4 linked regions of the Arabidopsis thaliana genome follow. The protein of the gene in region 1 interacts with the protein of each later gene in a biochemical or structural test. Each region holds a gene or a part of one and is shown in the gene's direction. Other genes may lie near its edges.

The links.
Region 2: the proteins of UBQ10 (region 1) and MAPR2 form a complex in vitro, tested with the Arabidopsis thaliana proteins (one study listed by BioGRID).
Region 3: the proteins of UBQ10 (region 1) and MAPR3 form a complex in vitro, tested with the Arabidopsis thaliana proteins (one study listed by BioGRID).
Region 4: the proteins of UBQ10 (region 1) and MSBP1 form a complex in vitro, tested with the Arabidopsis thaliana proteins (one study listed by BioGRID).

The regions. Positions count from the first base shown.
Region 1 is NC_003075.7:2,715,051-2,723,536, forward strand, and holds UBQ10 (polyubiquitin 10), read left to right. Parts: upstream 1-2,926; 5' UTR 2,927-3,204; intron 3,205-3,492; exon of another isoform or gene 3,493-3,508; coding exon 3,509-4,882; 3' UTR 4,883-5,258; downstream 5,259-8,486. Other genes in the region: AT4G05310 (Ubiquitin-like superfamily protein), read left to right, coding at 1-962; AGD13 (ARF-GAP domain 13), read right to left, coding at 5,722-6,003, 6,089-6,184, 6,270-6,392, 6,476-6,623, 6,709-6,872, 6,990-7,065, 7,368-7,449, 7,590-7,629. UniProt on the Arabidopsis thaliana protein: Ubiquitin exists either covalently attached to another protein, or free (unanchored).
Region 2 is NC_003071.7:10,605,444-10,612,202, forward strand, and holds MAPR2 (membrane-associated progesterone binding protein 2), read left to right. Parts: upstream 1-3,973; 5' UTR 3,974-4,003; coding exon 4,004-4,306; 3' UTR 4,307-4,457; downstream 4,458-6,759. Other genes in the region: AT2G24945 (uncharacterized protein), read left to right, coding at 6,139-6,759.
Region 3 is NC_003074.8:18,125,352-18,133,553, forward strand, and holds MAPR3 (membrane-associated progesterone binding protein 3), read left to right. Parts: upstream 1-4,100; 5' UTR 4,101-4,317; coding exon 4,318-4,625; intron 4,626-5,608; coding exon 5,609-6,002; 3' UTR 6,003-6,241; downstream 6,242-8,202. Other genes in the region: HSP93-III (Clp ATPase), read right to left, coding at 24-657; AT3G48880 (RNI-like superfamily protein), read left to right, coding at 2,522-2,886, 3,093-3,657; AT3G48900 (single-stranded DNA endonuclease family protein), read left to right, coding at 6,503-6,570, 6,660-6,817, 7,031-7,092, 7,194-7,321, 7,462-7,513, 7,590-7,662, 7,758-7,831, 8,200-8,202.
Region 4 is NC_003076.8:21,209,172-21,217,404, forward strand, and holds MSBP1 (membrane steroid binding protein 1), read left to right. Parts: upstream 1-3,768; 5' UTR 3,769-3,949; coding exon 3,950-4,269; intron 4,270-5,043; coding exon 5,044-5,386; 3' UTR 5,387-5,440; coding exon of another isoform or gene 5,441-5,448; 3' UTR 5,449-5,671; downstream 5,672-8,233. Other genes in the region: MBD13 (methyl-CPG-binding domain protein 13), read right to left, coding at 1-511, 611-811, 919-1,042, 1,156-1,302, 1,438-1,536, 2,380-2,463; RUP1 (Transducin/WD40 repeat-like superfamily protein), read left to right, coding at 7,727-8,233. UniProt on the Arabidopsis thaliana protein: MSBP1 can bind to multiple steroid compounds with different affinities. Negatively regulates cell elongation and brassinosteroid signaling. May act as a coreceptor with BAK1 and enhances its endocytosis.

The DNA.
Region 1 (8,486 bases):
CGTGGATTTCAGTTGAAGAGTACTTTGCGGAGCAAGATTGGCCTTTGACAGAGGAAGAGATCAGAAAGATTTACAGTTATCGGCCTGAGACAACCCAAGACATCAGTAAGATTCAAGATGCGCATCAAACAGAGGAATCTCCACCGTCAAACTCAGTCAAAGAGACCGTTAACATTCAAGATTCGTCTGTGAAGTTTGCGAGTAAGAACAACAACGATCAAGTGCCTCCAACGAAGCAATTTCCACAGTCAAACTTAGTCAAAAAGATCACTAACGGAAAAAAAAGAGTCCGGCAGATGCTAGTATATGTGTCGCCATATCCTGGTATGAATGAAGTCCCAACGAATATTCTGGTGCAAGTGAAAGTTACGGATGAGGTGAAAACACTGAGAGGTCTTATGAAACTGGCTCAAGAAGGGTACATCTTTACGCACAATAATCAAGTATTGAACGAAGATCAGTCATACGAGTGTAACAGTGTTAAACCCTTGGATACAATTGTGATTGTTCCCAGACGTGTTATCCAAGAGACCAGTAAGATTCAAGATTCGTCTGTGACGGTTCAAGTGCCTCAAATGGAGCAATCTCCAGCGTCAAACTCAGTCAAAGAGATCACTGACCCGAAGAAGAAGATTAAAGTATATGTGGTGGCAGCTTCAAGTGAGTGTAAAGGTCTGAAGAGATTTATTGAGGTGGATGTGAACTCGACGGATCAAGTGAAAATACTGAGAACCGAGTTGGTTGAAAGTGGTCGGAGGGGTCATATAAGAATGCCTCACGAAGGATATTTCTTTGTGGACAGAAAGAAAGAGAGAGTATTGAACGAAGATCAGTCATTCGAGTGGAACCGTGTTCTTCCAGCCGAAACAGTTTATATGGTTAGTGGACGTGATACACATTTTGCCTCGTCTTTTACTCGTGGCTCTAAAGTCACAATGCTTTGTGCTCAAAAAGTTCTGTAGAAAGTCTGTATATATGACACAGAAGAAACCAAAAACTATGATACATTCAGCAACAGAAAGTTATGTGGATCTTTAACTCTTTGCTAATAGGTTTTAATCTTTCTTCAAGTTTTCTTCTGGCCCTTAAGTCACAATGCTTTGAAATTTTTGAGTATATGTAGATACATAGAAGAAACAAAACTATGATACATTTAGTAACAGAAATTTATGTGGATTTTATCCTATTTGTAGGTGTAACTCTTTTCTTCTAGGTTTTAATATTTTTCTTCAAGTAAACTTGTTGTTATTGAATTCCCTTTAGTCGAAAGCAGCGATCAAGCTTCTCTTATAAGTTACAAACCCTAATTTCAGCAAACACAACTTGGAAACACTAGCAGCAACAACTTTGTTATTTTAAAACATTAGCAAAAGAAATCTCATTGCAACATCAAATGGCAAAACTGGAAGGTAAAAAAAGCAGAACTTATCAAACAAGACTACCAATATGATGAACTGATGATTTTTTTTTTTTTTTTTTTGGCTCAACAACAAACTTTCCATTCACCCATTTATGGATACACAGTCTAGCTCAACAGAGCTTTTAACCCAAATTGGTACAATAGAATACAACTTTAGATCATAATTCTCAAAAGAAAGAGATTCCTTAGCTATTCTATCTGCCACTCCATTTCCTTCTCGGCTTGTATGCACAAGCATAAAATCCTCAAACTTGCTAAGTAGATACTTTATGTCTTGGATAATTGGATTGAGACTTGACAAGCATAACTTTCATGTAACCAAAGACACAAGTTGCTGAGAATCCACCTCAAAAATGATCTTCCTATAATTGAATCGGGATAATGACAGCACAGCCCATCTAAGAGCCTCCACTTCTACTTCCAGCACGCTTCTTACTTTTACCACAGCTCTTGCACCTAACCATAACACCTTCCCTGTATGATCGCGAAGCACCCACCCTAAGCCACATTTTAATCCTTCTGTTGGCCATGCCCCATCAAAGTTGCACTTAACCCAAGATTGTGGTGGAGCTTCCCATGTTTCTCGTCTGTCCCGACGGTGTTGTGGTTGGTGCTTTCCTTACATTCTGAGCCTCTTTCCTTCTAATCCACTCATCTGCATCTTCTTGTGTCCTTACTAATACCTCATTGGTTCCAAATTCCCTCCCTTTAAGCACCAGCTCGTTTCTGTTCTTCCACAGCCTCCCAAGTATCCAAGGGACTAAAGCCTCCACATTCTTCAGATCAGGATATTCTTGTTTAAGATGTTGAACTCTATGGAGGTTTGTATGAACTGATGATCTAGGACCGGATAAGTTCCCTTCTTCATAGCGAACTTATTCAAAGAATGTTTTGTGTATCATTCTTGTTACATTGTTATTAATGAAAAAATATTATTGGTCATTGGACTGAACACGAGTGTTAAATATGGACCAGGCCCCAAATAAGATCCATTGATATATGAATTAAATAACAAGAATAAATCGAGTCACCAAACCACTTGCCTTTTTTAACGAGACTTGTTCACCAACTTGATACAAAAGTCATTATCCTATGCAAATCAATAATCATACAAAAATATCCAATAACACTAAAAAATTAAAAGAAATGGATAATTTCACAATATGTTATACGATAAAGAAGTTACTTTTCCAAGAAATTCACTGATTTTATAAGCCCACTTGCATTAGATAAATGGCAAAAAAAAACAAAAAGGAAAAGAAATAAAGCACGAAGAATTCTAGAAAATACGAAATACGCTTCAATGCAGTGGGACCCACGGTTCAATTATTGCCAATTTTCAGCTCCACCGTATATTTAAAAAATAAAACGATAATGCTAAAAAAATATAAATCGTAACGATCGTTAAATCTCAACGGCTGGATCTTATGACGACCGTTAGAAATTGTGGTTGTCGACGAGTCAGTAATAAACGGCGTCAAAGTGGTTGCAGCCGGCACACACGAGTCGTGTTTATCAACTCAAAGCACAAATACTTTTCCTCAACCTAAAAATAAGGCAATTAGCCAAAAACAACTTTGCGTGTAAACAACGCTCAATACACGTGTCATTTTATTATTAGCTATTGCTTCACCGCCTTAGCTTTCTCGTGACCTAGTCGTCCTCGTCTTTTCTTCTTCTTCTTCTATAAAACAATACCCAAAGAGCTCTTCTTCTTCACAATTCAGATTTCAATTTCTCAAAATCTTAAAAACTTTCTCTCAATTCTCTCTACCGTGATCAAGGTAAATTTCTGTGTTCCTTATTCTCTCAAAATCTTCGATTTTGTTTTCGTTCGATCCCAATTTCGTATATGTTCTTTGGTTTAGATTCTGTTAATCTTAGATCGAAGACGATTTTCTGGGTTTGATCGTTAGATATCATCTTAATTCTCGATTAGGGTTTCATAGATATCATCCGATTTGTTCAAATAATTTGAGTTTTGTCGAATAATTACTCTTCGATTTGTGATTTCTATCTAGATCTGGTGTTAGTTTCTAGTTTGTGCGATCGAATTTGTCGATTAATCTGAGTTTTTCTGATTAACAGATGCAGATCTTTGTTAAGACTCTCACCGGAAAGACAATCACCCTCGAGGTGGAAAGCTCCGACACCATCGACAACGTTAAGGCCAAGATCCAGGATAAGGAGGGCATTCCTCCGGATCAGCAGAGGCTTATTTTCGCCGGCAAGCAGCTAGAGGATGGCCGTACGTTGGCTGATTACAATATCCAGAAGGAATCCACCCTCCACTTGGTCCTCAGGCTCCGTGGTGGTATGCAGATTTTCGTTAAAACCCTAACGGGAAAGACGATTACTCTTGAGGTGGAGAGTTCTGACACCATCGACAACGTCAAGGCCAAGATCCAAGACAAAGAGGGTATTCCTCCGGACCAGCAGAGGCTGATCTTCGCCGGAAAGCAGTTGGAGGATGGCAGAACTCTTGCTGACTACAATATCCAGAAGGAGTCCACCCTTCATCTTGTTCTCAGGCTCCGTGGTGGTATGCAGATTTTCGTTAAGACGTTGACTGGGAAAACTATCACTTTGGAGGTGGAGAGTTCTGACACCATTGATAACGTGAAAGCCAAGATCCAAGACAAAGAGGGTATTCCTCCGGACCAGCAGAGATTGATCTTCGCCGGAAAACAACTTGAAGATGGCAGAACTTTGGCCGACTACAACATTCAGAAGGAGTCCACACTCCACTTGGTCTTGCGTCTGCGTGGAGGTATGCAGATCTTCGTGAAGACTCTCACCGGAAAGACCATCACTTTGGAGGTGGAGAGTTCTGACACCATTGATAACGTGAAAGCCAAGATCCAGGACAAAGAGGGTATCCCACCGGACCAGCAGAGATTGATCTTCGCCGGAAAGCAACTTGAAGATGGAAGAACTTTGGCTGACTACAACATTCAGAAGGAGTCCACACTTCACTTGGTCTTGCGTCTGCGTGGAGGTATGCAGATCTTCGTGAAGACTCTCACCGGAAAGACTATCACTTTGGAGGTAGAGAGCTCTGACACCATTGACAACGTGAAGGCCAAGATCCAGGATAAGGAAGGAATCCCTCCGGACCAGCAGAGGTTGATCTTTGCCGGAAAACAATTGGAGGATGGTCGTACTTTGGCGGATTACAACATCCAGAAGGAGTCGACCCTTCACTTGGTGTTGCGTCTGCGTGGAGGTATGCAGATCTTCGTCAAGACTTTGACCGGAAAGACCATCACCCTTGAAGTGGAAAGCTCCGACACCATTGACAACGTCAAGGCCAAGATCCAGGACAAGGAAGGTATTCCTCCGGACCAGCAGCGTCTCATCTTCGCTGGAAAGCAGCTTGAGGATGGACGTACTTTGGCCGACTACAACATCCAGAAGGAGTCTACTCTTCACTTGGTCCTGCGTCTTCGTGGTGGTTTCTAAATCTCGTCTCTGTTATGCTTAAGAAGTTCAATGTTTCGTTTCATGTAAAACTTTGGTGGTTTGTGTTTTGGGGCCTTGTATAATCCCTGATGAATAAGTGTTCTACTATGTTTCCGTTCCTGTTATCTCTTTCTTTCTAATGACAAGTCGAACTTCTTCTTTATCATCGCTTCGTTTTTATTATCTGTGCTTCTTTTGTTTAATACGCCTGCAAAGTGACTCGACTCTGTTTAGTGCAGTTCTGCGAAACTTGTAAATAGTCCAATTGTTGGCCTCTAGTAATAGATGTAGCGAAAGTGTTGAGCTGTTGGGTTCTAAGGATGGCTTGAACATGTTAATCTTTTAGGTTCTGAGTATGATGAACATTCGTTGTTGCTAAGAAATGCCTGTAATGTCCCACAAATGTAGAAAATGGTTCGTACCTTTGTCCAAGCATTGATATGTCTGATGAGAGGAAACTGCAAGATACTGAGCTTGGTTTAACGAAGGAGAGGCAGTTTCTTCCTTCCAAAGCATTTCATTTGACAATGCCTTGATCATCTTAAGTAGAGTTTCTGTTGTGGAAAGTTTGAAACTTTGAAGAAACGACTCTCAAGTAAATTGATGATCACAAGTGAAAGTGTATGTTACATAAGTGGATATTTCACCCTTTTTCCATCAATCAAAACATCATATAGTAATCCATTGGTTTATACAAACATCAAAATACATTTACCTCTGAAATGAGGAAAAAAATGCAAAGAGATTTTTGAAAATTTCCAACAAATGGAGAGAAAAAAAAAAAACAAAGAATTAAATCAATCAGTACATTTATAAAGGTTATGAGACCTATATGACACTTATTGGTCAAGTGGCAGCCATTCCATTTCTAGCTCTAATTCTCCAGACTCTACATTCTGAAGCTTGATCTGAACCTCCTGTTTCACTTTCCCATCAACAATGTTAATGATACTGTCATCTATTAATGGGTTATCATGCGATTTTAGCCATTTCCCAATCTGCATATCCCCAAACATTTCTGGATCCCCAAAAGCCATTGCAGATGTTATCAAAGGTTGTATATCAATATCTGCTTCTCCCATTATGTCATCAGCAGAAAATGTATCATAATCATACACTTGCTGCAACCACATAAGAAACCGTAAGATATATATATAAGCTTTGGCAATGACTGAAATCGTCAATAGAAAATGAATTTGCTCTTACCAATTTCACAGGGCCATAGCTCTCAGGAACAGACAGCATGAGTTCTTGATTCCATACCGGGTTCAAATTACTATTCATAACAGTTGTCTGAAGTTTCTGAATAAACAAGACAATTTTACTCAAGATTCACAGCATCAACAAGAAGTAAAGCTAATAAAAAGATGCAAAGCAAATCACTTACTTGCTTCCCTAGATTCAACACAACATATGGATCACTTGACATCATGTCTCTGATTGCTAAGTTAGTTCCCTTCTTAATAGTCACCTTCAACAATCCAATAAACTCTACCATTCCTTCCTGAAACTGTCAAATTTACCGATTTCAAAACATGCAAGAAGAAAGGTATAAGAAAGAAAACGTTAACTTATGCAAGTTTGAAGCTTTACCATCGTCTGCGATGATGAATTTGTGCGAAAACTATCCATGATCTTTCTAGAAAGACTTGATGTAAGAAAAGCTGAACTCTTTGTTGAGCCTTTCCCGGATGTAATCCGCAAGCTTGGTTTCAGAAACTCTTGCAGTTCATATTTTGCCCTAAATAAAGATTTTGAGTAAGTCACTATACAAACAACAGCAATAGATTTGTCCTGTCACAGAGTATTTTGTTTTAGAATCTGACCTAATGAATCTCATACGCTGGTCATGATTAACATCAGGTCCAGGCTTAGAGCACGTGTCAGGTAAAAAAGCTTCATAAATTGAATTAGCAGACGCATTTCCTCCAATTTCAATCATGGAATCGACTTCCTCATCTGACCATTCATCTAGTGTCACAGACAAAACCTGGAGAAACCAAACAATGAGTACACAACGAAAGAGATCTAATTTTGTCTTGAGTAATGAAGAAAAGAGACAACAAATGGACAACCAATATGTAATAGAGCAAAGAAGATATATCACCTTTGAAATATGAGTGCCGAGGCTCCTGTGCACACCGCAACATTTTAAGCAAATGAATACTCCGATATTTGCTGATCTGAAAACAAGCTACTAACTGATTATTCAATATAAGAACAAACACAAAGATACATAACTAAAGACACAAGAACATGTAGATGAAGCTCAAATCGCATAATGCGAATAAGTAACTTTCGGTTATGGTAAAGAAATGTGAGACATTCAACTCTATGAGATTAACCCCTAAATGAATAGAGAACATACAGAACCAAACATATTGTATTAGCATAAGATTAGCTATATACTAAATGACATGTTGTTTATCAGCAAAACTACCAAAAGATAAGAAGAAGAAAAAGAGGCTTAGAAGCGATGACTTACGCCCATTTAGGATCAGAAGCGCCACAATCAGCGCAGACTCGGTTATCAGGTTGATTTAAAAGATCTCTGATTCTCCTTTTACCTGTTAAACACACAATGTGGATTGAATCACAACATAATCAGAAACCTTGTGACGCCATTATAACATGAAAAAGTCAAGAAATTTCGCTAAATCTATAGAATCGACCACACACACACACAAAAGAAAGAATCTGTCATTACCTGAGCCAGGCTTACCGAGTCCGGCTGCATAATTGCTCATTGCTCTTCTTTCAAAACCCAACGATCATCAAACAAAATCCTACATTGAGAACAACCCATCACGCACAAATTGTTGTAAATGATCACAACATAAGAAAGTTCCAATTTTTATCATGGAAATCAAATTAAATTTGCGATCAAAACGTGAACATTGTTGAAAACAAAACAAATGGGCCAATCACGAGAAGAATCTCTTTTCATATCAAAAATTAAAAACCTATGTGAATCATCCTTACGTTGTCGGATTCCGACACCGGAGAGGAAAAAAAAACCGACAAAAAAATTTTAAAATTTGACCTTTAACATTCTTAGAGATTGGATGATCTAAATATGAAACAAGAAGATATACAAAAAATTGGAAATGAGAGGGGATTTGGTGTTCTTACAATGTTGCGGAAGGGAGGATAGATAGACGAAGGAAAGAGGTGAATTTACAAGAAAATTGGCAAATGATAATATCTGCAAATGACAACTACGTGCTCACTTTTCTTTTTATCTTATTATTTTTTTCTGCGTTTTTTAAATAAAGAAATTAGAGCAAATTGTTAATTTAAAAAAATCCCAAAAAAAAACACTATTTCCAATCCGGCGTTATTGTTTCATAGGTTTTTTTTAAAAAATTTTTTTTTATTAAAATTTGGTTTATGATGAAAATAGAAACCAAATTAGTACAAAAGTAAATATCATTCGGTCGGTTTAAATTGCTTTTTATTTATTAGCAAAACATATTATTTTAGAAAATATGTATTTTTTAACAAATAATTTGGTTGAAAAGACATTAACTTTTCCTTTAGATACTTTAAATCAGTATTTTTGTTGACTAAAATTTTTAAAATAAATTGTGTTGATTTATCAGCA
Region 2 (6,759 bases), on another chromosome or scaffold:
TTTTTCCTTAGCTTCCTCAGCTTTTGACTTTGTTTCCTCAGATGGTTTTGGTTTATTTATTCTAATCTTTAGCGCAGTAGGAGGCACCTTTTTAGGCTGCTCCAAAGGCTTTCTTCCTCTTCCTCTTCTCGTTGGCGGTTTCTGGATTAGCTCATTTAATGTTTTCTCCTTTTTGTGCTTTGGCACATTTGGGGATGGTGGCTTCCTAGAGCGTAAACGGCGATTGAGAGGAGAAACAGTCTCAACGAAATCCACATCAGACACAATGGAGACCTTATCAAATTCTGCTTCAAGCTTCCTACTTACCCCAACATCAGCTTGTTTCGACTGCATAAACGTAACGAAAACTCAGGCGTTAAACAACGAAAACTCATACCTATGTATAAATATAACTCAGCCATAACTAACTAAACTCAGCCGTATCAAATTCATATACCTCAGCCATAACTAACTAAACTCAGCCGTATCATATTCATATACCTCAGCCGTAACTAACTAAACTCAGCCATGCCTAATTAAATTTTTAACTCAGCCGTATAATATTCATATAACTCAGCCATAACTAACTAACTAAATTTATAACATGAAAACAACTCAGCCATAACTAACCAGCGTTTATAACTCAGCCGTAAAATATTTATATAACTCAGCCGTAAAATATTCAGATAACTCAGCCGTATAATATTGATAACTCAGCCATAACTAACTAAAATTTAAAACGCAGCCGAATAATAATCAGATATTAACTCGATCATAACTAACTAAAAGTTTACCGGAGGAGGACTAGGAGCAGCAGATTGGTTATTTGTAATTTTCTTTGGAACGTCTGGTGTCTTTTGAGTTTGGGCCTTACGATTGTCTTCCTGCGTTTGGGGCTGTGGTTTGGATAAAAACATATCTCTAATATAGCTGCTTGATTTTGAATCAGCTATGGCCTTCAGCTGCTCTTTAATCTGTTTGACGTCGTTCTCAATCGATCCAAACCTTCCTTCAAACTTTGCTTCAACACTCGATTCGATTTGACATCCAATCACATCCAGACGGGAGGACATTTCTTTTATGCTAGTATCAACGGTGTCAAATCGAGAGTTTAAGGGAGAGATCAAGTTGGACACCACATCCACGAGCGACTGCTGGTCTCCCTGACCATCCTGCTCACGAGAACGAACATCCTCGTCCTCATCAGATTCGACAGCTACTTCCTTCTTCTTCTTCTTCTCCTTCTTCTTCTTTTCTGCATCTTTCTCAAGAGAATCAACATGCTCACCGTGAGAGACCTTCTGTTTCTTAGCGGGAGATTCAGACACCTCCGCTTCTTTATCTTTTAAGAGTTTCTTCTTCTTCTCACTCGTCTTCACATCCCAATAACCTTTAACAAGCTTAACCTCGTGTAAGTCTTGGATCAAGTTATCAAGTGCTGGGTCTTCTAATTGGTCTGGCCAAAAATGAAACAGCTCGCTTAACTCAGCCTTTTCAACCATTGTACGAACACGCAGCTACAACAGGAGAGATAATAAAACCCATCAGTATGTTTAACTCAGCCATCACTTAATATAACTCAGTCGTCACTTAATATAACTCAGCCATTATAGAACATAATTCAGTCGTCACATAACATATTTGCCAAAAAAAAAGAATATAACTCAGCCTTCACAGAGAAAAATAAAACATTAACTCAGCCGTAACATAAATATTTGATAAAAAACAGAACATAACAGAGCCGAAACCGTACCTCACCACCATTCGCTTTGATATCTTCAGCAATGACCGATTCTATAGTTGAACGGGTACGGCTGCCACCCCATCTAAGCAACGGAATCTCATCCGCGTTAACAGCGTTCCCAAAACGCTCAGCGATGGTGATGATTGACTCATACGCCCAAGCCTGCAACACGAAAACCAGACCACTGACAGTGTACGTCTTGCCAATAGGCCTCAGCAACTTTATAGAAACGACAAGGGCTTCATATGCTGCCCGACCCCATGGATAAGTCTTCATGGCTTCGTCGTCGAAAACTCTTTTGGCACTCTCAAATGGTATCCTAGAGTTAGTATGCAAGCCAAAAAGTCCAATGGATAGAAGAGTCAATAACCCAAACCATCTACGTTTTTCAGTAGGCCAAGCTCTGCACGTTACTAAGCCCTGCCTAAGTTCATCTAGATTAGGACCTTCACCGGTTGGCACACGCAATTCACTGAAGAACGCTTTGTAGTCAGCTTCAGGCTCAAACTTTTCTGTAGGCAGATCATCTATATTTAAACCAGTGATATGATGAAATTCGTTCAATCCAAACCGGATGGGTTTACCAGCCACGATACACCAAAGCTCCTTCTTCAGTATTCTCAGCTGTCTGCATAGTAGATAATGTACGGTCTTACCAGACCAGAGAAAATGACTATCAACAAGCTTAGCAATTAATCCAAGCTCTGTCTCTTTCAGTTCTGCCCATATTTCTTCTCCTATTGATTCTCTAATTGCAGGGAACTCTCCCAGCTTTATATTATGATTAATGCCTTTACCCTCCAGATTAGAATCCCCCTCTTGGTAAAGTCTTGGAGGGTACTCCCTTGCTTGGTCTTCAGACATCTGTATAACCATAAATCAGCCGTAAGCATTCCATAACTCAGTCATAACATAAAACAAACTCATCCACAGATACCATAACTCAGGCAAAACATAAATCTAACTCAGCCATAGATAACATAACTCAGTCATAACATAAACCTATCTCAGCCATAGATAACATAACTCAGTCATAACATAAACCTATCTCAGCCACACATAACATAACTCAGCCATAAGATAAATCTAACTCAGCCATATTTTAACAGAAACTCAGTCAAACCATAACATAACAACAGCTCAGTTAAAACATAAACCAGACTCAGCTATATCAAAACAGAAACTCAGCCATAACATAAACAAACTCAGCCGTCATATAACAGAAACTCAGACATCGATGTAAGGTTAAACCATAACTCAGTCACAGCATAAAAAAAACTCAGACACGGATGAATTGATAAATCATAAATCAGTCGGCAAACAAACAGTAACTCAGCCGTCAAATCAAATAGATCTAAGAAATCGGCCACCATATGTCAATCAACGTCGACGTTAAAACCCAGCTTTAAAAACCATCGTTACGCATCGGAAAACGATTTCAGTGACGGGAATCACTTGAGATTGAACTTAGATGTCAGAGTCTTACTTCATTGAAAGATACTCACCGGAACTTAGATGTCGAATGTGACTTCGCGCTTACGTAAATGCGACTCCGGCGTCTGAATTTCGGCCGGAACAGACGAGAAAAGAGCAAAACGGCGAAAGAAATCGATTTCGTTCCGTCGAGAGAGAAAGTGGAAGAAAGCGACAGTTTTTTTTTTTTTTGGGAGATGATGAACAGTAAAGCTAAGAAATAAGAAACCCAAACGTTATGGAGTTTGGAGATAATTAATGACGTGGATTATGGTAATGACATGGAATAATGACATGTATAATCACTGTTTTTTCATTTAATTTTTAGTTAAAAACGAATTAAATAATAATAATTAATTAAAACTAATTAGGGGTGTTAATTGTAATTACACAATAACTGAAAACATCTGAGTAATAAAAAAAAGATGTGTTCTACTGTAGGAATAAACATACAAATGTGTTCTATCTTAGGAATTAGTTCAAATTAAATTGTCTTTTCCCAAAGCCGTCCTTTAAACCCGACGAAGTTGTTTAAGCAGCTTAAATTAAGCTCCTTGAAAGATTAAGCATTTCTGGAATTTTTATCGACTTTAATTAGAGAAAAATAAAATATTTTTTGATATTCCTTGTAAAAATCTGAAGAATAAAGTTTACTCCACTTATTACCGACACAAAAAAAGTTGTTCCACTTATTAAAAAAAAGTTATTCAGTTATAATTTTTTTAAAAAAATCCTCTGTTATATATCTCTCACTATCTTTTATTTGGTTCTTTCCAGAAACAATTGATCAGAGCTTTAAAGAAAAAGATGGAATTCACCGCAGAGCAGCTAAGCCAATACAACGGCACCGACGAATCAAAGCCGATCTACGTCGCAATCAAAGGCCGTGTGTTCGATGTCACCACCGGAAAATCCTTCTACGGCTCCGGAGGCGATTACTCGATGTTCGCCGGAAAAGACGCGAGCAGAGCTTTGGGTAAGATGAGTAAGAACGAAGAAGATGTGTCTCCTTCTCTTGAAGGTCTCACTGAGAAAGAGATCAATACTCTTAATGATTGGGAGACCAAATTTGAAGCTAAGTATCCTGTCGTTGGCCGTGTTGTCTCTTAGGTCTCTCTTCTGAGATTGCACTATGTTATGTAACTATTGTGTGTGAGGATCTTTGTGTTGTGTGTTTTCTGATTTCGTGTTTGGATCTGATCGTTTTGATACAATTACCATAAGTACCAAATTATCTATGAAATAAATCGGGGATTTCGTGTTCTCAGTGGTCTTCATATTCTGATCTTAAGGTTACTTTGTTGTGCTTACCAAAAAAAAAAGGTTACTTTGTTGTGATGATTAGGATTTTAGGAGTTTTAAGTCTCATATGTATTTGATGAGAGGATATAAAGATTGGTTTGTGTCTTTCATATCTTGCAAATACTTGGAGCTAATTGTGTCTGGTGAAAGAAAAACTGATGGTTTCTGAAATCTGAGCAACACCAAACTTACTGGTAGTTTTGGATTCGGTGTAAATTATCTTACAAGTTCCAAGTTGTTGTTAATTTTAGTCTTTTGCGTTATGAGATTTGGAAGAATATAGTTATGATGAACATTCAGAATTCATAGAAGCTAATGTGTGTCTTCTTTGATTCTTTCTTACTTCTCCCGGTCTAAATTATTATCATCACTTGTATGACTTCGGCCCTGTTCGGCATGGCGTTCTTGCGACTAATATGTTGCTTTAACGCCAAGTCTTAGGTTTGAGGGAGAGCTGTTCATGGGTAGAGTTGTTCTTGGCTCGAGTTGACTTGTGTCGTGTGTAGTGGCTGTGGCCTATAGCTATGCTTGTTTATCAAGAGAGAGGCATCCTAACTTAGATATTATTTTGACATTTTAAATAAAAAAATGCACAAACCACCACCTCCAAGAACTAGCTACCTTGCTGGATTTGAACCAAACCTAGAACATAAATGAGGAGACGTGGAGGGGTAGGAGATTCGGCACCATGTTGATCCTCAGGTAGGTATTTATCCTTTCCCACAATTTGTAAAACGTTGTTGGAGAACCCGGGGTGATTACAAGACACTACAACTTTGTTCTCTATGTCGACTAAGAAACTCAACCCAAAACATAACCCTAAATGATAGCGGTCATCAAATTTCGACACTGTCAGGAACTTGCTCTATGAAATGGCTTCGTACTCTCCATCTTATTCGCTATCCATACCTCAGAGCTCTGAGCAGCAAATATACAAAGTTGTTGCGCTTCTCTAGTCATTGACAAAGTCGCAAAACAATAAGAACGAGGCGATCTTAAATATTAACCAAAGAGAGTTCGCCCTAGGTCTTCTCTCCCGGGCACGATCTCCGAGGAAGCCGCCCCTCCATGCTCCAAGACAAGATGGACCTCCGCCGCCGCTGCTCCGCCGCTCAATTATCCTCTTCCTTCTGAAGCCGCTCTGCTCTTCCTTCTCGGGTCAGATCCTCGTCGTTCGTCGGAACCCGTTGTCGCCTGCGAGTAGTCTTTGGCTAGTAATTCAGCTCTGATGGTTGCTTCGTTCTCAACTCTCCCGTCGTCGAGCTCCTCCGTTTGGACTGTGAACACCGCTCACCTCCGGATGCTGTTCTTTCGGGTATCGCTGGATCCTCCCAAGCCTCCGGTGCCTCCAGATCCGGTACCTCCAGAGCCTCCTCCTCGTTGTTGTAGCGATTTTCCATCGTCTCCCTCATGGTATTCCTTGTTTGTTGGATCCTCCATCTCCTTTCCCTCGTCATTGAGGCTTATTATAAATTATATGCAAGTGTTTTCTATGATAAACCTTCTAGATCCGTGTGTCTTCCGGTGACACTTCTATCGCCATAGTGCGACCTATTACTGCAGTATGCAGCCTTTTTCCTGAAGCTATTAGGTTTTCCTATGGCTCCTATGCCTCCTTTAGTTCCTTCTTTCATGTCTATATGATTTGTAGGTTCTCTAAAGTTGAGATGGGTAAATGTTCAGCTAACTCATGGAGTTGGAATTGTGATTCTCGCTTGTTCACAATTGCTTTTGGTCTTCACAAGGATACTAATTGTATGCTTTGTTTGTGGTTGTGCTTTGTTTGCCATTGTTACTCCTTTATGGAGATCTATGTTCTATCAAGTTCCCCTGTTGTTGGGAAATCTTTATTTGCAGGGAATGAAAGCTTCTTTGGTGTTTGTGGATTTGCTGTTGCATCTTGTTTGGACATGCTATCTTCTAAAACCCTTGAAGTTCCCTTGCGAGACATTTCTGTCGCTTATCGTTCTAGCACCTACACGTTGGTAGCAGAAGATATTGTAGCGAAGACTGCCTTATCATTGAATAACGCCCTCTTGTTGGCGTGGAATGAAGACTCTTTGGTTTTGCAATTGTTCATGGACTCCCAGTTCAGTGTAAAATCTTTCAAGTTACTCGAAGTCACCGTTGAGCTAGGGAGAATTCTGCTTGTTTTAAGCTTCCTTCACCTCCGGTTTATCCCCTTGTTTTTTGCATTATTCTCTTATAATGCGTTTGTATTTGCAGTTCTTTCTGTTTTTAGTGATGTGTTTTACTCTTGT
Region 3 (8,202 bases), on another chromosome or scaffold:
TCATAATAGAAATAGACCCATACCAAGTTGTCGAGCTTCCTCTAGTGACAACTCCAGCACCCGCTTTGCGCGAGGAGTAAATGGAATCTCCACTGCCACGAATCCACTGCCTCTCCCAATTATCTTTTCTACTTCCACGCGTGAATCTTTAAGATTGATCCCCATGGATTTAAGAACCTTGGCGGCAATCCCAGTCCCTTCTCCAATTAGACCCAACAGTATTTGCTCAGTCCCAACAAAGTTATGGCCAAGTCTCCGAGCTTCCTCTTGAGACAGCATTATGACCTTAATTGCTTTCTCGGTAAAACGCTCAAACATTGCTTTGGGTACACATCGGCTAGCTTTTTCTCTCCCAGATGATTTTGCAAGTTTATACTTAACAAGGAAACCTGGACTAGGCCTTCCCAAATAATCTAATGCACTGGGGGCCCTTAACCCTGAGAAGCTCTGAATTGTCAGAAGAGGTGCTTGTAAACTGGACATCATCTTCACACGCCCTCTTGGTTCTCTGTATTCTGTGGCCTGAATTCTCAGAACAGGTGCTTTTAAACTGCTCATCTTCATCACACACCCTCTTGGTTCCCTGTATTCTTTGGCCTGCACATGCCTTCCGGGACCAAAAAAAGGAGGTGTAAGAAGAGCTATCGACCAAGCCATGATGCAATGTTGGAGGCTGCATTGGGTAATGGTAGAACATCAGTATTGCTAATTCTCTTAAACACGTATACAGAAAGAGCTCAGGCACAAAAATACACAATTTCAATTCACCAACTAAGAGCAGAACAATGTCACAAAAGCTTGAGCTATGTTTCTTATCTCCAAACTCTCCAAAGCAAAACAAGCAATCATCTTTGAACAAATCGAAACGCGAATACACAACCCTAATCTCAAAGTAAGCATTTTTGCATATCAATAAAACCAAATAAAGAGTACCCAGATTCAGAAAACTCAAAATGAAACCACCAAAAGAAACGAAACCAAACGCCATGAGAAATAGAAGAAAAGAAAAACTCAACCTTTAAAACAGCTCACACAACAGAGAAGCAGAAACCTAAAAGCTTCTTCAATGAAACACAACAACAACAAATGAAAAATAAAAACAGACTGAGAAAGAGAGTGAGTGTAGCAAAGAAAAGGGTTTTATGTGTAGCAAAGAAAAGGGTTTTATACCGTCGACGCCTTTGGATAGCGAAGTTGGAGAAAGCGAGAGACTCCTTTTATTGGGAAAGAGATAGGAAAGTGAAGAAGAAGATACCCAAGAGACAAGAGATTTCTCTATTCTCTCTCTCTTTATCTTCTCTCGCATCGCCGCCCTTCATAGATTAAACACACTCACCTACCAAAGTTGCATACCAGCCGTTAGATTACTCATAAGTGTATTCCACCGTCGGATTTAACTACTTTTTAAAGAGTCAACCTCAATAAGAATCTTGTTCCCAAAGATAAGGGTTTGTGTTGAGTTTAAGACCGGTTTAATCTGAAAACTCCGTCAAACCAAAACCAAACCGATTTATCATAAAAAAATTCATATCATCTACTTCCATTGGCTAGAGACAGATTGTAACGGTGTCGTCGTCGCCAAACGATTTGCCTCTTCCTAAAGGTAGGTTCTTCATTTCTCTCAGTGCCCCTTTGCGTGTTTCAGCTTCTTCTTTATGATCTAATTCATGTCTATGTTTCGTTTGATTCTTTGTTCAATTCTGAATTGAGAAAATGGCGATTCGAGATCTGTCTCTTCGGTTTTTTAGTTCGACTGATTTGGGAATGTGAAGAGATCAGATTGATTTGTTGACAGAGTCTTGGGGGTTTTCAATCTTATTCCTCTAGATTTTCGAAATTCGATTCCTTTACATCAGATTTCGCTTAATTCTCTGTCCTAGTGAGTTTTACGATCTTTAGTCTTCTGGTTTGTCAAATTCTATGTCTTTTCATGTTCTTCTGAGTTTTAATGGTTGATCTTCAATTACTTGGCCACAATCTCTAGAGTTTGAGACTCTTGACTTGTCTTGCATATATTCCTCTGTAGATTGGTTTTATGTTTGGTTTCAATTCCTTGTTGAACTATTCTGATACGGAAGTTTTCCTTTCTAAGGTTTGGTGTTTCCTTTTTCTGATAAATAGTGATGAAGATCGATTATGATGATCATGTAAGAATATAATCTAGCTTTGGTGTTTGTATTGGTTTACCTGAGGGAAGAAAAGTCTTTCTCTTTGGGACTTTAAACTTTGATTACTTAACTCCAACATTATCATAGTTGGGTTCTGTAGTTCATTTCACTTATAGCAGTAATAACTCATTGATTGATGCAATCAATCAATCCTGTGATGGAAATGGAATCATGGAAATTGAGGGATTCAGGGAGGATTGATTGATTAGAATTTCATATTTATGAGAGAATAAGAGAACTGATGTGTGTTTCTTTTCCTACTTCTTAAAGTTGTGCTCTTTCCTATTTCTATAAGCTCTTGTGGATAACAACAGTTGATTAACGTTCTTATGCTTGTTTAGGGTACAACAAGAATGGAAGAAGAGTATGAGAGTCGTCGATTGAGGAGATGGGAAGAGTTGGACACTGACATCTTAGTAAGAATTTTCCAGAAGTTTAGCGTCTTTGAGTTGACTTCGGGATTAGCTCATGTTTGTAGAGGATGGAGAGCTGCTTGTTGCGATCCGATTCTTTGGAAGACGGTGGATTTGTCAAACATGAGATCTAGTTTCATCAAGATCCCATTAGAGCCTTATGTCTATGTGGAACGCCGATCTGATGAGGCCCTAACCCGCATCCTGAAACTCTCCATGAACCTTAGCGGAGGAAGCACGAGGACCTTGATTTTTCATTTCAACTTGTTCTTGAGTGATGATCAGCTTACTTACACCGCAGAAAGGTATGTCCTTTTCGTTCTTCCACTTATTTGTCTTCCAAATTGTTTCATCATGGCCGTAAACTATGGTTTTTTAGTCAAAAGTTGGTTCAGTTTTTGGTTTGGTTAAGTTCATGTACCCACTTTCAGTCAAAATTGCTGAATTACAATTAAGCTGAATCTCGCAAATGCTAAAAGTTGAAAAATTTGTTGTACTGAATATTTTGCAGGTGTCCAGGGTTGAGACGGGTCGTCCTACCGGCTTGGAACAGAATAAAGAAGACTGGTATATGCAAAGCGATAAGAATCTGGAAAGATCTAGAGTCACTAACAATGCCAAGCATCGCAAACCCGCCTTATCTCTTAACAGAAATTGCCAAGAACTGCAAGAATTTTAAAGAGCTGAAGATCATGGGTCCATTCGAGGTCTTCTTTGCAAACACGCTCATCACTTGCCTCCCAAACATCAAAACACTCAGCATCAGATGCTCGGCGATAAAGCGGGAAGCACTGATGAAAATCCTTGACGGATTACCAAGCCTTGAAGTGCTCAACATATCACACTCTCACCTAGTGGAGTACAGCGGTTGGCAGCCTCAGCAGAAGGTGATTGTTAGAGAGCTCGATAAGACGATAATGGAGAAAACAGCAAGGCTAAAGAAATTCTTGACTTGCATGGATCACAAGACGTGTGTGATGTGTCAGAGGACTGAAAACGATGAAGGGATTGTGAGATGGTACAAGTATGAGGAAGGAGACTGGAAGGTTGATGAAGTGAGTTCTCTTCATCTTTGATGTTTCTGCTGTGATCATTCTCTGTGAAGGACTTAACTTGTTATTGTTCTCATCTTTGACTGTTGAATTGTTTATTTCTTTGTGTTGTTTGTTTTGATTTGAATCGTATTATGTGTATATATCTGTAGGCTATGCCAATGAATGTCTGTAGTGATCAACTTTTGATCACCACCAACCTTGCACACCAAATAGGAAAATAAAACAATATTGTTACAATTATTTGTCTTGATATTAGCATTATTAGTCACATTTGTTTTGCAAATCATCTACCTTTTTTTTTTGGTCTATATCTTATTCTTCTTAGTTCTTACCTACCAGTCTTCTCCGGCGGCATTAACGACACCGTTTTATCGAGCTCAGCCACCACTAGTTAGGTAACGATATATATTCTTAAAAACGTTTAGAAAATTTCTATGTATGTTTCACACGAACAAAAAGAAAATATTTTTCAGACATCAACGGTCATTATGGACGACGACTGTTAAACAAAATCGTTTAAAATTCTTGTTGCGTAATTTGACCATTTTATTTTATTTTATACCAAAAATTGAAGATATTATATATATGTTTTAATTCGATCGCAAATAAATCTGAAAATTAAAACACAAAACGTTACTCTTCTCTCTCATTCTCTTTCGCTTCTCGATAGCTTCTCAAATCATGGTTCAGCAAATATGGGAGACGTTGAAGGAAACAATCACAGCTTACACTGGACTTTCTCCAGCTGCGTTTTTCACCGTACTTGCTCTCGCTTTCGCCGTTTACCAAGTCGTCTCCGGTTTCTTCGTTTCTCCTGAAGTTCACCGACCTCGTTCTTTGGAGGTTCAGCCTCAATCGGAGCCTCTTCCACCGCCGGTTCAGCTCGGAGAAATCACTGAGGAGGAGCTTAAGCTTTATGATGGCTCCGATTCTAAAAAGCCCCTTCTTATGGCGATCAAGGGCCAGATCTATGATGTTTCTCAGAGCAGGTATTTCTTGTGAAATCTTTACTTGTTCATTAAATTATGATTGAATCCAAATGATCACTAGTTAAATTACCAGTAATAAACGATTCAACCCAATAGTTTCGAGATTTGGGGTTTAGGTTAGTTAATCATGGTTGACTGTTTGATTTATAATCCGAAGTTTCCAATTACTATCTATCTTATGATTCTAGTATATCTACTGATGCTCGAACTCTAGTTTAAGTGATTCTTTATTGTAAAACTGAACACTTTTAGTAAATCTTTTTGATGAATATTCTCTCCTTTTTGTTCATAATCTTATGATGCTCTTTTTATTGCTTTTTGCATCTTAGTGTTTGTTTTTTCACTTCTTTTCTTGGAACAATACCATTAGAAGCACTGATACAATTGTATTGTATTCAAGTTATCGGAAAGATCTCTACTTTTTCTTATACTAGAAAAACCTGTATTTAGATTACATCTTGGATTAGTAGAGATTGATAACGTACAAACTCGTCAAAGGTTTGGCTTCTAATATTGCTATTGTGGCGAAAGAGATCGTTCACTGATTAATTATCCACATTTGCTTGCTATTTGTGTTCCATGACGTTTGTAAATTAAGTTTTGGCGAACATTGTTGGTATGTAACCATGCTGCAGTTGTCTAGATCCCTGACTTGTCAACTAGACAGTTCTTTTACATTCCAGTTACCGAAAACTTCGTTGTGGTAATTAGGTTTTGTGCTAGATGAAATAATCACTTCAGTGATCATACCGTTTTGCTTGTTCATAGTGGCGACAGACACAGACACACTCATCAACGCATATACATGTCGATGTATATGTATGCATAACTTTTAGTTTTTTTCTTGTACATAGTTCATCAGCTGTACTACATATCTAGATGAATCATATTCATATGTGCCAAGCTGTAGTTTTTCATTCTTCAAACTCTACTTAACTCTTACTGGTCGCTAATTTGCATGACCATCTGTTCTTTTTATGCAGGATGTTTTATGGACCAGGTGGGCCATATGCTCTGTTTGCAGGGAAAGATGCAAGCCGAGCTCTGGCAAAGATGTCATTTGAGGACCAAGACTTGACTGGAGACATCTCAGGTCTCGGTGCATTTGAGCTAGAGGCGTTACAAGACTGGGAGTACAAGTTCATGAGCAAGTATGTCAAAGTCGGAACCATTCAAAAGAAGGATGGAGAAGGCAAAGAAAGTTCAGAACCTTCCGAAGCAAAGACTGCCTCTGCGGAAGGTCTTTCTACAAACACTGGAGAAGAAGCTTCAGCAATTACCCATGATGAAACTTCTAGAAGCACAGGCGAGAAAATCGCGGAAACCACGGAGAAGAAAGATGTTGCAACTGATGATGATGATGCTGCAAAGGAGTAAAGTCAATGTAATGAGAGGCACAGTTTCTCTTGAGAAATTAGTGAGATTTTTCAGGGTTTAAGTATGAGTCGTATATAGCTCAATAAAAATGGTGACCTTGTGTGTACTTTTTGGATCTTGTATAATGACATCTAATTCTGGTTATGGAAGCTTCAAAATACATTATTTCTACAGTATTAATCGATAAACAGTTCTATAATTCAGGGTTTGTTCACTTGTTGTTTATGCTTAGTTCATATTTGACATCCTGCTATGTGCCTGGTAATTGAAGATGGTTCAATTCCTAAAATCGAAGCACCAACTTACATTTGATGGTAGGTCTGTTGCCGAACCGAAGTGAAGAATTTGCAATAATTTTGGTTTCGGTTTGGAACCTTCAAACCGACCGGTTTCGAATTATTATTGAACCAAATTTTCAAAATTCAAATATCTTGTCAAATCATTTTCTTCCCTCTTTCTGTCTCTGTCTCTCTCTCTCGCTCGATCTCGAAGGTGAAGCTATGGGAGTGAAGTATCTTTGGGATGTCTTGGAGCCTTGTAAGAAGACTTTCCCACTCGATCATCTTCAGTGAGTTGTTTCTTCGTCTCAATTTCTCTTTAATTTTTCTGGGTGTTTAAAAAGACCAAGTCTTTACGAGATCTTCGTAATCGCTGTAGAAACAAAAGGGTATGCGTGGATCTTTCGTGTTGGATGGTGGAATTGCATAAAGTGAACAAATCTTATTGCGCCACTAAAGAAAAAGTTTATCTTCGAGGATTTTTTCATCGTCTCCGAGCCCTAATTGCCCTAAACTGCTCCATCATTTTAGTCTCAGGTAATTTAATTCTACCCTACTGTTGAAAATTGCCATCAGAAGAGCCAATTAGGGTTTATGTAGTGTTGTATTGTTGTCATTGTGAATTGATTTGAGTAATAGAAGCATGAGTGGTCAAATCAGTTCTTATTTATTGATGCTTTGCTCTAAAGTTTAGTTTTTTCAATGCTATTGAGCATACTTGACTTGTTGGAATGTGGCATGTAATTGTAGATGGTGCAATTCCTGGAATCAAAGTACCAACTTACAAGCGTCGGTTAAAAGCAAGATTCGAGGTACAATGATGTCAAATGTGGCACTTGTGGTTTCATCCTTGCATATGATGGCTAGTTTTTGGATTGTTTTTTTCGATTTCGTGCTATATTGGTTCAGCCAGATCGCTGACGATGGTGTTGAGCCTAGCAAAGAGACTTCACTCAAAAGAAATATGGGGTCTGAGTTCTCGTGCATCATAAAAGAGGCGAAAGTTATTGCATCAACACTAGGGATACTTTGTTTAGACGGGTAGGGCTTCAAGACAGTTAGCTTAGATTGACAATGAGACTTTGGTTTGAGTGTTTAACTTTGCTTATGAGACTTTGGTTTGAATGTTTAACTTTGCTTATGAGAAACTGATTCTGTTCTGTATTTTCCATCAAATGCAGGATTGAGGAGGCTGAGGCGCAATGCGCTCTGCTAAACTCGGAATCCTTATGTGTAAGACGCATTTTTCAGCTTTAATCAGTTTCTTGTTCGTCATGCTGTTAACCCAATATTCAATGATCATCCATAGGACGCCTGTTTTAGCTTTGATTCGGATATCTTCCTTTTTGGTGCAAAGACTGTATACAGAGAAATATGCCTTGGTCAGTGGAAAGAGACTCTTTAGTGTGTTGGTTTCTTTTACCGTCTGATATGGTTAATAGTATTATAAGTCCTAATAAATTTGCCAATGAACTAGGTGAAGGAGGTTATGTTGTTTGCTACGAGATGGATGACATCAAGAAAAAGCTTGGGCTTGGACGGAACTCATTGGTAAATTAACAAACCTCTTTAAGTGATTAGCTTTATATACTTAACCCTGATCTTTCGTTTCTATAAAGCTGCACCACGTTATTATAAAATGATTAGATTGGTAGAAGCATGAATGCAATGCTTGCAAAAGGTGGCCTTTGATATTTTATAAACTCAGGTGAGATAGATACTATGTGTATGAATGGTTCTACTGCAACGTTGTAGCTTTAAGGGCTCAATTCCTTTGTTAGCATCAGTAGACAAGAAAACCAGCTACACATTGTTGAGTGTTGACTATTATTCCATGCGTCAAAGAACTTTAAAATCTTAGCTATGTTTCATCAAATGGTAAGGTCATGTATACAATGTTTTCTTGGGTGATGTTACAGATA
Region 4 (8,233 bases), on another chromosome or scaffold:
TTGGTTCTCGTCTTAAATTCAGGCGTCAGTTCATCATCAGGAGGTACTATTCGTTGAACTTTGGTTCTTGACTTCAGTTCGGGCGTCAGTTCATCATCAGGAGGTAATATTCGTTGAACTTTGGTTCTTGTCTTCAGTTCAAGCGTCGGTTCATCATCAGGAGGTACTATTCGTTGAATTTTGGTTCTTGTCTTCAGTTCAGGCGTCGGTTCATCATCAGGCGGTACTACTCGTTGAACTTTGGTTCTTGTCTTCAGTTCAGGCGTCGGTTCATCATCAAGCGGTACTATTCGTTGAACTTTGGCTCTTGTCTTCAGTTCAGGCGTTGGTTCAAGCTCAATACCAGCTAACCGTTTTGATGTTCGTCGGGCTACACTATTACTTAGCTCATTCTTCTTCTCTTCAACTTTACTCCTTGTGATCCGTTTCTCAGAAGAATCTTGTTCCTCTTCTTCCTTCATAACAGCTTCCTTCTTTGGTTTTTGTGACCTTACACTGGAGTTTACAGAATCTACAAATATAGAGAACATAGAAAAAATTGGTGTCCTCAAATCTTTTTGTTATCTCAGCCACTACTCAGGTGGAAATATTAAGTCAGGTATCTGCACACCTTTTTCTGATTTTGCATTTGATGAAGACAGATTTCTTTTTAAATCTACGACGACTTCCTCAGTCGTACTGGCTTTAGTTTGGCTTCTAGTAACCCGTTTCGCTATGAGCTGCTTTTCGATAGGATCTTTCACCTCTTCCTTCTTCCCCAAATCCTCAAGAACTTGTGAGGTTACAATGCTCAAGTCAGAAGTCATTTTACCTGCATATATAATCGAATGTTGACACTTACTTAACGTAACTCACGGCATAAGTATGATTATACCCTGGCAAGTGGCAAAATCAGAACCCAAAAGACTTTGTACTTACAATTCTTGGAATGTTCATCAGAAGAAGATAAGTTTCTCCGTTTACTTCTTCTGACATCATCTATCGTTTTCTCTTTTTCCAATACATCATCTGCAGATCTCTTGTCCACATACTCCAGACGAAGCTAAAATCAGACAGAGAAAAGTTAAGAGTTAAAAGATTAACAGAAAATTCAATCATTCAGCTATAGTGCTTTCCATTAAACTAACTATAACAAAAAAGGAGAAAGGAACTCACAACAGTCTTTCCATTTCCGGAATCATCATCTTCGATATCACTTTCTTTCAATTTACGTGCATAATGTCCAATATTGCCAGTCTCAACATACCGTGATGCGTCTTTGAAGGATTGAAAGATATACTCACTTTTAGGGTCAATGAAGAACTGCAAAATCAAAAACAAGACATGTCCAAGAAGAATCACATAAGAGATTTTCTAAAGTGAGCTTATGTGGAAAAGACACAAAATGTACTTTTGATCAAAGATGATGTTATCACAAAGAGAGTAGAGGGTACAAACTGGATCTCTTCTGGTTTTACGGCCTGATCTATTTGTTATTTCAAGTTTCTTGATCCATCCTTCAGGTAAACCTTGAGCAGCAGATTTCTCAACTATAACCTGTATCACTTAAACATAAAGAGTTTTTCATTTTAAGAGACGTATAAATGTCAAATCTTTTTAGGGATCACAAAGAACAAAGTAACATTGTCTTCAAACATATAAACAACACAAAACTCTCAGATATTCTGTGCTTATGAACTTTCCATGAACAACCTAATACCAGACCCTTGCCAATATAAATGTGATTCATCTCAAAACTTTCCCTTTGCATACGCGAGAGGTACAAAGTTTTAGTGCTTACGAATATTACAGTATTCTCTCGAAGATGGTTACTTAACAATCCAAATTCATTTTCACAAGATCTATTACTCTTAATGTCTAACCATCTCAGTAAAGTAACCATATAATTCCTTTTCACACGAAGTAAACTAAGAGACAAACTTTTAAAAATTCAAGAAAAACTTAAAAAAAATAAACATCTCCAATCATGCACACAAGTAATAAGAGCTTTCTAAGCCACAGTGGAACCAAGTAAAATCAATTGAGTTCAAAATGTAGCTACATAACAAAGCTTTGATCAAACTACATCATCTATAACAAAACAAAAAGTCAGGTCAAGACCATTTTCAGACACTTAATCAACTAGACCTCTTCTCTTTTGATCACATGTCATCTTTCCCTAAAAGCTAAGCATTGCATGCAAGAGAAAATCACTCAAACGTCACAAAAGACTTCACCTTTTTCCATCATTACAAAATCATACAATCAGAAACTAAGAGTGAATCAAAGTATTTGGCACTTCAATAAAGATAACTACAATTTCCACAAAAGGAGCTAACAAGAACCAAACATGCAAAAGACAATCAAAATTAAGAAAAGGGTTTAAAACTCATAAATCACCTTATCCTTTCTCCCATTCTTCCTCACTCTAATTTCCACTTTCCTCTCAGCCGACAAACCATCAGAGATCCCTTCTCCGTTCATCTCTCCGGTCACCGTAAAACCACTTTCCTCTCTCTCTTGTATCCCTGATTCACAACTCAGAATGGTTTATCAACTCAAAACGCCAAAACCCATCAAGAATTGTCGGATTCAGATAATGGACACCGTCGGAAGTTATAAAGAAGGAACCTTTTTATTTTGTCTGATTGTGTGATTTGGTTCTGTCTCCACTAAGGTAAATAAGAAAAATAGTAGGATTTAATGGGGAAGAAGAAGAAAGGGTTTACACGTGTAGTGTGGAGGAGTTTCAATGGAGATTCCCCGATTTGAGAGGTTCAAGAAAACTCAGTCCACCAGCACGCGAGTCTTCTGGCCCAACGCTTCTCTTCTCTGATTGCAATTTAGCTCATTTTCTCCATTTTATTCTCTTGTACTGTTTGTTGTTTACTTCCATTGTTATTGTCCCAATTTTAAAAAAACTTACACTGTATATTAAAAAACATTTGCTTGATTTGGTTATAAAATCTAATTGCAAATCTATTTATGATGATATTTTTTGGGAAACATTTAAGACTTTGTTATCATTTTTTGACCCAAAAGAAAAAAAAAATGTTATTATTGTAAATGTTAGGATTGGAAGATTTATCATGAGAAGAAAAGTGAAAAATACTAATATAGTCAATTATGAATTTTCATAAATCTGAATTAAATATAATTTATTTTTACTTAATATATAGTTTTAATTACTTTTTGTTTAAATTTATGTTATTAAATTTGGTATTTGTATATCATGTTTAAAAGATTTAGAAGTATGATTTTATTCTATTTCTAGTGATTTAATTATTGAAACTTTGATTTTTAAAAAAGTTTATGTATTAATAAATTATTTGGATTGAAGGTTATATCAATGTTATAAAATGTGTTTTAAAATCTGAAAAGTGGTTGATTTTTTCTTTTTAAATTCTGCATCCACGAAACTTATTTTTCTTAAAACTTATTTTTCTTTTCGAGGTTATGATTCTTTTTAGTTTTTTTTATCAAATTTCATGATGAAAATAACTGAATTGAACATCAAAGATTTTCAGAAAATACTCTACTGCTTTTTTCTTAACTATATTCTAGCCATTTACATATCTAAGCTTGATGTCTTTTCTATTTCGTCGAAAATCTATCTATTTTACGGCAGAGACTTGAAACCCGAATTTTGACATATCAAAAACACTAACACAATCCCATGTACTACATTATCATTTGTATTTTACTTATAGAAGAAAATAACTTTTTATTTAAAAATTGTATGGTAAAAATAAAGATTAGTTCCCTAATAACTATATAAAAAATCTTATTCGGTCGTTTTAGCTGTATTTAACTTTTAAACCCAAGAAAGAAAAAAATCAATCAACCAAGGAAGTAGTACAACAACAAGAGTCAAAACCCAACAACTCTCTATCTAGCACAAAAGCCTGACTTTTACAAAGACAAGCCTTTTCAACACACTACTGATCTTGAGAATCCTCTCTTCAAAGCCATGGCGTTAGAACTATGGCAAACTCTCAAAGAAGCAATCCATGCTTACACAGGTCTTTCTCCTGTTGTCTTCTTCACTGCTCTAGCTCTCGCCTTCGCCATTTACCAAGTCATCTCAGGCTGGTTTGCCTCGCCGTTCGATGATGTTAACCGACATCAGAGAGCTAGATCCTTGGCTCAAGAGGAGGAGCCACCGATTCCTCAGCCTGTTCAAGTCGGTGAGATCACGGAGGAGGAGCTTAAACAGTACGATGGCTCTGATCCTCAAAAGCCCCTTCTTATGGCTATCAAACATCAGATCTATGATGTTACACAAAGCAGGTGAAATTTCTGAATCTAAAAAGCGAAATTAGGTTATGGGTTTGATTCATTGTTTCCTCTAATCTTGTTTTAGCGTATAAAGACTTGGACTTTGCATACTTTTATGATCTATAAAGCTGTGAGAATCGTAAAGTTGTTCACTTTGAGAATCAATTTCACAAAGGAGTTTTGTTTTGAGAATCAATTTCAGAAAAGCACATTGGAAAAGTTGATCCTTTTTGTTACTTTTATACAAGAGAAAGATTCAAAGGAATATGTTTTTGTTGTTGATGTTTGCTAGTGATTGAGATCATGTTGTGAAATATCTTAGCTCTATCTTCGAGTATAATCAATCTCTTAGACTGGTTTTAGTGTCTCAAGTGTTGTGTTTGTAATGAAAGGTTGGATTTTTATTGTCTTCCTCAAATCTCGTTTTACTCTATAACAACTTGGACTTTGCATAGTTTTATCTATGAAGCTGTGATATCCATAAAGTTGTTCACTTTGAGAATCAATTTCACAAAAGTTGTGCTTTTCTATGTAATCGAGCTTTTGAGTGGCATAGTGTTAATTTACCCTTTTGCTTCCTTCATACAAGAACAGGATTCAAAGGAAGTTGTAATATGTTCTTGTTGTTAATGTCTGCTTGTGGTTGAGATCTTTAGTGAAAACTCTTTGTTAATCTTTGAGTATAATGAATTGATCATCTTCTTATGATAGTCTAGTCTGGTTTTTGCGTATTTAAATTAAATGTTGTGTTTGTGATGAAAGGTTTGATATTTATTGGTTTTGTAGGATGTTCTACGGACCAGGAGGACCATATGCTTTGTTTGCAGGGAAAGACGCTAGCCGAGCTCTTGCAAAGATGTCATTTGAGGAGAAAGACTTGACTTGGGATGTCTCTGGTCTTGGTCCCTTTGAGCTAGATGCTCTTCAAGATTGGGAGTACAAGTTCATGAGCAAGTATGCTAAGGTTGGTACTGTCAAAGTGGCTGGTTCAGAACCTGAAACCGCATCTGTCTCTGAACCCACAGAGAATGTTGAGCAAGATGCTCATGTAACCACAACGCCTGGGAAGACCGTTGTTGATAAGAGTGATGATGCTCCTGCTGAGACTGTGTTGAAGAAGGAGGAGTAGAGCCCATTTCCAAGATTTGCTCTGATTTGTCATAGAGACCAGTTTTATGAAAAGGATTGTAGAATCTCTAATGTTGAAGTGTCAATGATAATCTTGTTTTACTTTCCCAAAAAATAAAGATTGCTGATTAATGATAAGAAAAAAATGTTTTATAAACTGCATATCAGAAGGCGTTGCATTGCATGATTACAATGTAGTCGAGTTCATACTTGTGGTTTGTGAATCTGCATGATTAATCTGGAAACTAAAACATTAAACCTGATCCTTTTTTTGTAAATTCTCTTCATCCTTTTGGTTACTACTATAGGAAGTTTTTAAGTTGGTCACTAAATCCATATCAATTGGGAAATAGAGTATTCAATTGTGATCCTCGATGTTTAAGAATTGGGGCAAAGAAGACAGTTGACCACGTTCTTCTGAGTGTTCCTTGCATTGCAGATATGTGCGCTCGATCTCCTCAGCACTATGGAAATTTCGGTGTCGTCGGTATTTGCAAATTTGGATATTCTTTTCTTGGAACAACCTGGCTCTTCAAAAGATTTAACCTTTCCATGGATTATTTGATACATTGGAAGGCACGTAATGATAAGGTTTTTAATGATACATTTGAGAAACTGCACAGCTGCAAGAACATAAGACAAGTACCTTTGAACAACGGTCTTTATTACAAAAACTGGAGTTTGAAGTCACAAATTAATGTTTTATAAAATAGTTCATTTTTTTTGGTAAACATGTGAAGATTTTATAGATAGTTGATGGAAGGAGACTCGATATGTTTTCAAATATAGGTTGGATCGGTTTTCATAACGACATAGAAGGATCTCTTTTTAGAGTTAGGAATCTATGCATAAGCCTTTCTCCTATGATCAAGCATCAAAGTACATCGGTAACTATCTCAATGGACTGTTCAAAGCTAAAAGAAAATTGACAACTTCCTGAACATTTTAGCCAATTTTCTCAACATATTTGGAATGGTTTGCAAGACTCAAATATTTGCTCTCTTCTGGCTTTCTGTTATTCTTGTAATTAGAATTGTCTTGCTAACTTGTTAGCTAGCATGTTGTTCACCACTACATTTTCATTATTTTAAGTATGTAAGACCTATAGTTCTATATACACCATCGATTTGGATTACCGAACCATTTTGATATATGTGTATGTATTTCAGTCGACAAAAAAAAAAAACTTCTAAGATCAGTTTAAACTGAATTTTGGTTATCGCCTTCTCTGCGATCATGGATTGGGTTGGACCTAGACATATGGGCTTAAGATACGTTTTACAAGCTGTCATGATGAATACAATTATTGTCTTAAGTGTCACGAGATATTGAAATCGTCAAAATAAGCCAAACATGCACCAAGATATCAACGCACATGTAGTTATTATATAGCAATAGTATTCTAAACGTAATGAACCGTCGATGTATCGACGTGTACTTTTTGCATTCACTTTCTTTTGTCTTCAAAAATAAAATGAAAATCAGAAATAAAGAGGTGTAATATTATCCACGTAGGAGTTGAGATCTACGACGACCAAACTAATCGTTAGGAAAGGTTTCAAAATTTGAGGTTCTTATCCAACCAACGCTAACGTAATGCTAATCTCGTGTTTCCATTTCTTCTTCCTTTAATGCGATGTCTCTCTGCACCCAATAATTAAAAAAAAAGTTTCTTTACATTTTTTCTTCTAAGAGAATTTTTTTGGCAAGTTGGTGACATGGTGTACTTCCCATACTTATCCATATCCCATTGCTCTAACTTTTTGTTGCTAAAAGCTAACTTAAGGAGTGATGAAGATTATAACTCATAATCAATCTAAAAGATAGACTCTTAACCATTTCTAATCACCACAATGTTCAAAGATCATATTTGGAGCTAGTGGTTATTTAGCCATGTGCATGGTCTTATTTTGATAGATTACCTTTTTGGATTGTTTGAACAAAAACATAAATACATGTAGCTAATTTCGATATATTAATTACTTTTCTAGTTGGAACCATTCGGAGAACAGCAAGTACCAATAACGTGAATGCATTTCCATTTAATATCACACAAAAGAAAAGTTCCATGTATCATGAATTTAGCAAATTCCATTTATAAATATTTGGCTTAACTAAAATTATATACATGGTTTCTTCTACATCTAGTAAAAAAAAAAGATAGATAAACCATGATACCTATGTATATGTATTTATATTAAATTTAAATATACCCCACATTTTTTGTTTTCGTCAACAAACAAACCACTTTATAGCTTATATATACACATCACACACACATATGAATGTGATGTTAATATAGTTTCGTGTGGACCTAACTAAAACTAGTCGTAACTCATTCATGGAGGCTTTGTTCTGCTCTGAGATACCCAACAACAACATCAGATCTTCCATTAACGATCTATCTTCTTCTTCTTCATATACATGGCCAATGATCATGACCTCCTCTTCTTCTTCTTCTTCATCTCCCACAATCATGAACATAGAGAACATTCCTAGATGCGACTGGGATCTCTCTCTTTCCGCCGTTGTTTCCTCCGCATCCACCGGATCAGACGCTATCGGAGCAATCGAGTTCGACCCTACCGGAGAGATCATAGCTACGGGAGGAATCGCAAGAAAGATCAGATCGTATCGTTTAAGCTCTTTGTTAGAGTCACGTGACGATCACGTAACAGCTTCAGAGAGCTATATTTGCACGCCGGCGAAGCTTAGTAGTCTCAAATGGAGACCCGATTTTTCCGGTCGGGTTATCGGGTCAGGAGATTACGACGGAGTTGTCACCGAGTACGACGTGGAGAAACAAGTGCCTGTTTCCGAGAGAGACGAGCATGGAGGTAGAAGGATT